Neurospora crassa OR74A: one gene and its partner. The protein of the gene in region 1 binds, or shares a complex with, the protein of each later gene. Links are inferred from orthologs where the notes say so. Each region holds a gene or a part of one and is shown on either strand. Other genes may lie near its edges.

Region 1 (4,595 bases):
CGTCTCCAGCGTGGGACCGTACAAGAGGCAGCCAAGCTGCCACAGCATTTGCGGGACGCGGTAGTCGGCAAACATGGTGATTTTGTCAATGTCCGCAAAGGATCCATAGCTTTGGCCTTCGAAACAGGCCCACAAGTCAGCGACAAAGATTTGTGCGCGCTTGAGGATGCGGATGGGTTGGCGCCGGCCGGGGTAGGGGTGGATGTCAGCGAAGCAAGGGAAATCGGAGGCAAGGAGGTTGACGAGGGCTGCGGCTGAACCGTTTGCTTCGTCGATGAGGTCCAGGACAGAACCATCGTATTTCTCGTGGAGGACTTGGCCGGCTTCACGGAGACAGTCGAATCGTTCTTGGAGGAGGGGGATCTCCTCGTCTGTGGCGGACCGGAAGACGGTGCGGAGGACGTCCGGGGTGAATTTTTCGTCATTGATCCAGAATGCGGGATCGGTGATGGGGATTCCTGGACGAGAAGATTCAAAAAACAAGTGTCAATGAAGGGTTCCTTTGTATTTCTTTGCTTTGTTACATAACTATGATACAACTCCAACAGCATCTTCCTCAGTAGTAGCAAAAAAAAACTTCAAGAACAAGAAAGACCACAAACCTTCCTCTAACCCCCGCTGCAACGCCGCCACCAAACTCCAGTACCCCGTCCACCTCTTTCCTCTGTACTCCACCTGGAACCGGTCTTCCTCGCTCTTCTCGCTCCAAAACGAAAAGTTGAGCAGATCCATGGTGAAGATGAACTTGACCGTCTCCTCGTTCTTCTCCTTGGGGTGGAGCGCGTGCGTCGACCAAGTGGCGGGCGAGTACTCCCGCTGCTGCATCTGGTCCCAGATGGTGTTGGCGGCCTTTTTGCACCCGCGCATGTCTAGGGCCACGTCAATGGCGTGGTTGTAGACGAACTCGGCAGACTCCAAAACGCCCGTCTCGGCGGCGGTGTGGGAGGACTGGTTGCCGTTGAGGTGTTGACGCAGGAGCTCGAGGAGCTCGGGGTCGGGTTGGTCTTCGTCGGAGGAGTATGACATTTTTCGATTCACGGGGGTGGTGGTGGTGTGGATGGGACGAGAGAGAGAAATGGGTGAAGGGAGGTGAGGAAATAATAGAGGGACTGAAAGGAAACGAGTGATGTGTTGGGATTTTGAAGAAAAGGGTTGAAGAGGAGGTCTGAGGAAGGGGGTCAGGGCGGAGGGAGTGGGAAAACGGAAAGGTTGCATTTTGAGAGTTTGGTTGGCACTGACACTGACTGTCGAGGGGGCAAGGTTAACCCTGAGATGGGTTGACTGATTTCTAGAATACGATATCCTAAGCTCGAGGGGAAAACAAACGGTCAATTTTACGGTGAGAGATATGATATCCTCGATATCGTCTTGCTCACCCTACTGTGTCGTTTTTCCATTCTCTCCAACCATTCAGAATCAGACCAGCCAATCTTTCATTGTCTGCATGATGTTCCTCTGTTGACTTGTTCAGGGTTATGTATGGGTGGACCCCCCCACCGCAACACAAAAACACAAAGTGGTTGCAGCTTGCAGCAGGGCGACCAATAAGACGCGGCACTTGCGTTGCCGTGTGCCTGCCGGTCGAAGGATCGTCTATGGCCAACCCCGGAATCGGTTTTAGCGTGTCGCTGGAGTTATGACGCGCTACCACCCAGCAAGTGCTGAAGTCTTGACCTGGAAGGAACTCCGGTCTGCCTGTCGCCGATTCAGCGCCTGGTGGTTGCAACTTTTGACTGCCTTCAGTTTGCATCCACGAGGCTGAACTTTTTCAATTTCCGCTTCAATTTTCTTCACCTCTTTCTGCCCTGGGCTTCATCTTGTCCTGGGTATACAGTGACCGCCCGCTCAACGTGAAATAATACTACCCCCCGAACCACCTTCAAGCCTGGTCGCACCTCTTGCTCCTCGGGCGCAAGCCTCCTCAAAATCTCGCCATGGATCCCGCAATGGGCAATCCCATGGTCCCCATGACGGCGCAAATACCAGCACCAGTTGCCCAGCCTATTCCCTTGCCGGTGTTGACGCGGGACAGCTACAATTCGCAATCATTAGGGCGGTCTTTGAATGCAAATGTCAAGCAGGTACGTGCCTTCATTCATCCCAAGTCGTCTCCTCGGCAACAAATGAAGGCCTCCCAATGCTGTCGCAATCCCCGTCGCAACTGGCATCGCTCGGATTGCTATAGAACTTCATTACGAACGCCCCTCCAATTCCAAATCTACGCTTCCTTCCTGCCTTCGTCGCGCCACAACCACCATCATGACTTCCCAGTTGACTGCCGAAGCGGTTCTCGCGCTAGCTCCCGCAGAAACCCCCGAGACTCTGCTAACGACCACCTCACAGGCGCGCGTGCTCATGGTAGGCGCCGGCGGCATCGGCTGCGAACTCCTCAAGAACCTCGTCCTTACCGGCTTCGGTGAAGTCCACGTCGTCGATCTCGACACCATCGATCTCTCCAACCTCAACCGCCAGTTTCTCTTTCGTCACGAACATATCAAAAAATCAAAGGCACTTGTAGCCAAGGAGGCTGCGCAAAAGTTCAACCCCGCCGTTAAGATTGTCGCCCACCATGCGAACATCAAAGATGCGCAGTTCAATATCGAGTGGTTCAGCAGTTTCCGGATAGTCTTCAACGCGCTCGACAACCTCGAAGCCCGTCGCCATGTCAACAAGATGTGTCTTGCCGCCGACGTCCCCCTCATCGAAAGTGGAACAACCGGCTTCAACGGCCAGGTACAAGTCATCAAAAAGGGTGTCACAGCCTGCTACGATTGCGCGCCCAAGGAGACGCCAAAGTCATTCCCCGTATGCACGATTCGCAGTACACCGAGCCAGCCTATTCACTGTATAGTGTGGGGCAAGAGCTACTTGCTCAACGAGATTTTCGGAGCGAGCGAAGACGAGTCAGCATTCGATCATACTGTTGATGGTGATAATGCGCAGGAGATCGAGGAGCTCAAACGCGAGTCGGCGGCGCTACGAAAGATCAGGAATTCTGTGGGTACAGAAGAGTTCGCGCAGATGCTTTTCGAAAAGGTATTCAAGACGGATATCGAGCGGTTGCGCTCAATGGAGGACATGTGGAAGACGCGCAAGCCGCCTGAGCCACTCAACTACAAGGAACTCCTCGATAAGGCCAAGTCGCTCGACAAGGACAAGGTTTTGAAGGATGCTCAGAAGGTGTGGTCGCTGGAAGAGAACCTCGTCGTCTTCAATGACAGTCTCGAGCGACTTAGCAAGAGGGTTCTGGAGAACAAGAGCGCCGGTGAAGAATCCATCATCACCTTTGACAAGGACGATGAGGATACCCTGGACTTTGTCGCCGCGAGTGCCAACATTCGCTCAGCGGTGTTCGGTATTGACAGAAAGTCAAAGTTCGACATTAAGCAGATGGCTGGCAACATTATCCCTGCCATTGCGACAACGAACGCCATCGTCGCCGGTCTTTGCGTGCTGGAGGCATTCAAGGTCCTGAAGGGCCACTACGAGCAGGCCAAGGAGGTTTTCCTTACGCCGTTTGCTAATGCACGTATGTTGGCGTCCGACAAGTCACGGGAGCCTAACCCTGATTGCCCGGTCTGCGGTGTTTACCAGACGAGAGCGTATGTCGATTTGGAGAAGGCGACGTTGAACGATTTGGTAGAACACTTGATCAAGACGAATCTGGGGTATGGCGAGAAGGATTTCGCTATTAGTAACGAGGTTGGCATTCTGTACGACCCGGATGAGACGGATAATCTGGAGAAGAAGCTTTCGGAGCTGGGTATGTTTTGCTACTCAGATTACAGTGGAAGCTGCTACCCATATCGCAATGGAAATTGCTAACATCGTACAGGCATCAAATCCGATTCATTCCTGACCATCACCGACGAAGACGATGAGGAACCTTTCGTTAACGTCGTCGTTGCCATCCAAGAAGCGTACGTCCCCATTTTCTCTCCCATGTTCGTAACTAACACCCTCAAAGCAAGGAGCCTCTGGGTGACAAGCCAGTCAAGGGCATTCTCGACCCAGAGGACGTCAAGATCCCACTCAAGCCCAAGAAGCAGTCACAGCCTGAGCCAGTGGCTACGCCGACAGCTGCCACCAACGGTGCCAGCATATCCAACGGCCAGAACGGAGGAGTAATAAACCTTGATGGCGATGAGCCAATGACGACACCAGCCAAGTCGCTCAAGCGCGGCCACCCCGAAGACGCAGAGGGTCCATCGGTCAAGAAGATCAAGGCCAACGACAAGGCGGCGGATGACGATATCGTCTTTATCGAGGATAGTGCGGGAGCTATCGTGATTGATGATGACTGATCTTCCATCACCCCTTTGCCGTGTCTTGTGCGCGGTTCATTATTGCTACCGTAGGCCGTAGTTATGGTCGGTATATACTATGATTACCACATGGCTTGCTTGCTATTCTTGCTATACCTACTAGCCACAGATACCCACGGGAAGCGGTGTGTCGTTTCAGACAGCACTTAACCCTCCATCAAGATTAAGTACGCAGTTGTTTGCATACGGGTTCTTGATAAGGAACAGGGCAGCGTCGGCGACTTCATCTGTTGTTCCGAAGCGGCCTAGGGGAATTTGTTGGAGAATGGA
Region 2 (3,604 bases), on another chromosome or scaffold:
CCCGACTGCATCTGCTTGAGCAGCTCAGCAAGGAAATCATCGGAACCCTCAGCTGCGGCAGCGGCCGTGGCCTGCTCGCCAGATGTCTGCATGCGCTCCATGGTCCGTCGGATGGTCTCTTGAAAGGAAGCTTCGGCATTCTTGCTCGATGGTGAGGCCGCGGCCGAGGCTCTGCGGGAAGAAGACGGAGGAGTCTTGGTCGAAGTCTCGGCCTTTGGGGTGGGAATACCAGGTGTTTCGGCACCCGAGGCAGCGGCGGCGGCGCCTAGCTCCTTGAATATGCTCTCGAACTGGGCTTGTAGCTCAGGCTGGCTCAGAGTTAGCTAGAGCCGCAGAAATTGGGATATTGCGATTGTTTGCGCCTACCGAGTTCTCGATGTCACCGAGGAGATCAGCCATGCCGGCCTGCAGCTGCTTCGCAAACTCCTCTTCGGACAGGACATCATCTTCCCCCTTGGCACCATCTGCCCCAGCGGCGTCTGGCCTTGCTGGCCCCGAAGGCTTCTTGGCTTGAAGGTCTACTGCGGCGAACTCATCGAGCATGTCATCCAGGTCATCCAGGTCATCCTCATCCGGGTCGGACACGTCATCGTCGAACTCGTCGGCCACGGTGGCCTTCCTGGGCACCTCCTCCTTTGCGCCGGCGTTATTCGAAGCCATTGTGCGGTATGAGTGTGTAAGAATGTTGTGTAAATCGCAAAGACGTCGATCGGTCGTGGATGCGCCTCGTTCCGACAGACGAAGCAGATGCTCGGGCAAAAGGTTGACCCCACGCTGAAGCACGACCTCTTTGAGAGAGGTAAAAGCGGGAAGTTGTCTGTTTGAGGTAGAAACCAAGCTAATGCAAGGCGGAGTGGTCTATCAAGAGAGTATACAAAATCTCTCTGGGATAGGCAAATCCAGAATTGTATAGCGAACCAAAACCTTCAAAGAAAGGGTGATCAGTGGAAGAAAACATGGAAGGGAGAGAAGTCAGATGGAGATTGACATCCAGAAGGGTTCAGATGACGAGGGGGTTTTCCTTTGCATGTGCAATTCGGCTCACTCCTCATGGCGCTTTCCCGCATCTCTGCTTGAACAGGGCGGTTACCCCACCATTGCCCACCGGGGTACGCTGTGTGCCGAGGGACACCACCTCCAGCTTCAGACAATATTCCTTGATCAGGTTGCTTGAGCACTTAAAGTCCATACTAACAGGCATCTCGCTGTCATCCCATCTTCTGATGCTAGTGTGACTGCGGATCAAGCTCATTTTGGAGCCTACACGCTGTCACTGAAATGGGCCATTTACTGTATGTGAAATGCCGTTGACAAGCTTCGGAGTACAAGTTAAGCAGAGGAGAGCTTCCATGCCATTCACTTCACCCACTCTCCGCCTTCCTGATTCGAGGCGACAGGAACTCCGAGCCCGGCAGGCAATAACTGAATGAGCGTGTCGCCTGCCATTCGATTTGCTGTCACTTCGTTGCAAACTGAAACTTCCCTCCAGCCTCGTTAGGATTCGAAGTCTACCACATCAGTCACAGTCGGTTCCCTTCCCAGGAAACACTTCGTTACATAGTTCCATTCGGATTGCGCATCATTCCCCGCATATACTCCAGATATTCGAACCCTCATCTTTTCTTTTTTGGCCTTACAAACCCCAAATCACCTTCACCTCTCACCTTGCGGGGCTACTACGCAGTACATACTCCACGCTGCTACATATCGCGTGGCCCATAGGATTGGATCTCTTACCTGCAGAGGACCTTCCCACACTCCACCTTCTGATCCGCGCCCATCCCCCCCGTGACCAACCCGAGCAGCTCTTCAGCCGCATCCCCACGTTTCTCGGCGCCGTCATTGCATTAGCAAGAAGCCGGCCGTCGAAGTTGAATCGTCGTCGCATTCAGTTTGTCCAAGGGATCACTCGAATCCCACGTTGATCAGCCACCGCTCAACTTTTACCGACGCCAAACCCCGTCAACGTCAACCTCGTCAACCACCATGGCGCTGTGCCAGAACCGCTTGCAAGAGGAACGGTACGCCGCAAAGCATTGCGCAACAGTGTACCTACGTCCAGCAGACTGACAATCTTATTCTCTCCCTCTAGGAAGCAGTGGCGAAAGGACCATCCCTTTGGCTTCTATGCCCGTCCCCAGAAGAACCAGCAGGGTGTGCTCGACTTGAAGATTTGGGAATGTGGTATTCCGGGCAAAGAAAAGACAATCTGGGAGGGTGGTCTGTTCAAGTTGACCGTCACGTTCCCTGATGGTATGCGCCCTGCACCGGTCGGTGTCTTTAGTCAGAAGAATACACGTGCTGACTTGACGTTTCCTGCATGCAGAATATCCCACGAAACCCCCCAAGTGTACGCCGAAAGCTAGCCCTCGTCCATCCCCCCTTGCTACGATCACATGGCTAACATGTTGGCGTCTGAGCAGGCAAATTCGTCCCCCCTCTTTTCCACCCCAATGTCTACCCATCAGGCACGGTCTGTCTCTCGATCCTCAACGAAGAAGAGGCATGGAAGCCGGCCATCACGATGAAGCAGATCCTGCTCGGCATCCAGGACTTGCTCAATGACCCCAATCCCGAGTCCCCAGCCCAGGCTGAGGCGTACAATCTCTTCAAGAAAGATCGTCAGGAATATGAACGTCGGATCAAGCGCGTCGTGCGGGAGAATGCCGCCCCATAGATTGGGAACCCACGAATGTGAGGGTGCTTGGTGAAAAAGAGAGAGCAGTTCTGTTTTGCTGGACCTGGGACACGGAGTTTAGGGATACCAATTCATTGTTTGTGGCGGCATTTGGAGGGAGTTCATTCATTGATAGCGATCCTGCGCACGATTCAATTTTCGGGCTGCTCTATATACTCATGATCGAGGAACAAGAGTCTAAGAAAAATAAAAAAAATTACCGACGCTGCGCCCGATGCATCAGTCCGTTTCCCCCAACTTTTGTGCTCAATACTTGCTGTCTCGGACCTAGATCTCCCTTCTACCAAACTCACGGTCGAGTTCGGCCGGGGAGTAGTGGAATCAGTGGGATGAACCCTCAAGAGTCATCTTCAATCGCAGATGATTCGACCAAGGCGGGAGAGGTATGCGTTTCAAGAAAAGATAGCAAAAAGTTATTTCACGGGAAGTTCACGTCCGGAAAACCTAGAATATCGGGCACCCAGTTTACAGAGTCTCAGTCAGATACTCCGTACAGGATTTATCACTAGCTTTATCTGTGTCTTCAGTTTGTCAAGAAGTTTTTAACCTCACGGCAAGGTTGCAAGCCACGCTCCGCTTGCGGAGAAACCTGGGGTACCCGTCGTCCCCCCCCCCCCCCCCCGCCCCCCCCCTTCTCCCCACTTAAGGTTTGTAAGGGAGTTGGACTTTATGCCGTTGACACAATGACGTTGGAGAGCTGGAAGGACTTGTCAGCCTGTGCAGCTGGCACAAAATCTGCCGGCACACTGTGATGAAAATATTCACACTACTGCTCGTTTCTCTCCACTGTGTGGCCAGCTAACATGCTTGGCTCGGCGGCTGATGATGGCTTCCAAAAGGTACACGGCTTTCCGCGGTTCTCTTATCAGTCCGGTGTAGGTAATCCCTGGATTGGCGGACGCGGGC

What was found.
Region 2: the proteins of NCU03526 (region 1) and NCU04302 are in contact, whole or in part, in a crystal structure (PDB 3ONG), measured with the Saccharomyces cerevisiae proteins. The link is inferred for Neurospora crassa OR74A from reciprocal best matches to the Saccharomyces cerevisiae genes UBA2 and UBC9. Residues at the interface, in NP_010678.3 of Saccharomyces cerevisiae: Asp474, Ser476, Leu478, Gln483, Arg484, Leu485, Leu486, Asp488, Tyr489, Asp490, Phe491, Asp493, Leu494, Leu511, Ser513, Glu515, Glu516, Gly517; in NP_010219.1 of Saccharomyces cerevisiae: Met1, Leu6, Gln10, Glu11, Arg13, Lys14, Arg17, Lys30, Asp33, Gly34, Ser35, Met36, Leu38.

Annotation. Positions count from the first base shown.
Region 1 is NC_026502.1:356,878-361,472, forward strand, and holds the start of NCU03526 (ubiquitin-activating enzyme E1 3), read left to right. Parts: upstream 1-1,663; 5' UTR 1,664-1,934; coding exon 1,935-2,081; intron 2,082-2,284; exon of another isoform or gene 2,285-2,343; coding exon 2,344-3,763; intron 3,764-3,835; coding exon 3,836-3,920; intron 3,921-3,967; coding exon 3,968-4,304; 3' UTR 4,305-4,460; coding exon of another isoform or gene 4,461-4,595. Other genes in the region: NCU03527 (hypothetical protein), read right to left, coding at 1-458, 603-1,215; oar1 (3-oxoacyl-[acyl-carrier-protein]-reductase), read right to left, coding at 4,461-4,595. UniProt on the Saccharomyces cerevisiae protein: The dimeric enzyme acts as a SMT3 E1 ligase. It mediates ATP-dependent activation of SMT3 and formation of a thioester with a conserved cysteine residue on AOS1.
Region 2 is NC_026505.1:5,554,670-5,558,273, forward strand, and holds NCU04302 (ubiquitin-conjugating enzyme E), read left to right. Parts: upstream 1-1,486; 5' UTR 1,487-1,986; coding exon 1,987-2,021; intron 2,022-2,092; coding exon 2,093-2,253; intron 2,254-2,326; coding exon 2,327-2,350; intron 2,351-2,423; coding exon 2,424-2,677; 3' UTR 2,678-2,928; downstream 2,929-3,604. Other genes in the region: pex19 (peroxin), read right to left, coding at 1-308, 367-660. UniProt on the Saccharomyces cerevisiae protein: E2 ubiquitin-like--protein ligase mediating SUMO/Smt3 attachment to septins and PCNA. Seems to be involved in degradation of S- (CLB5) and M-phase cyclins (CLB2).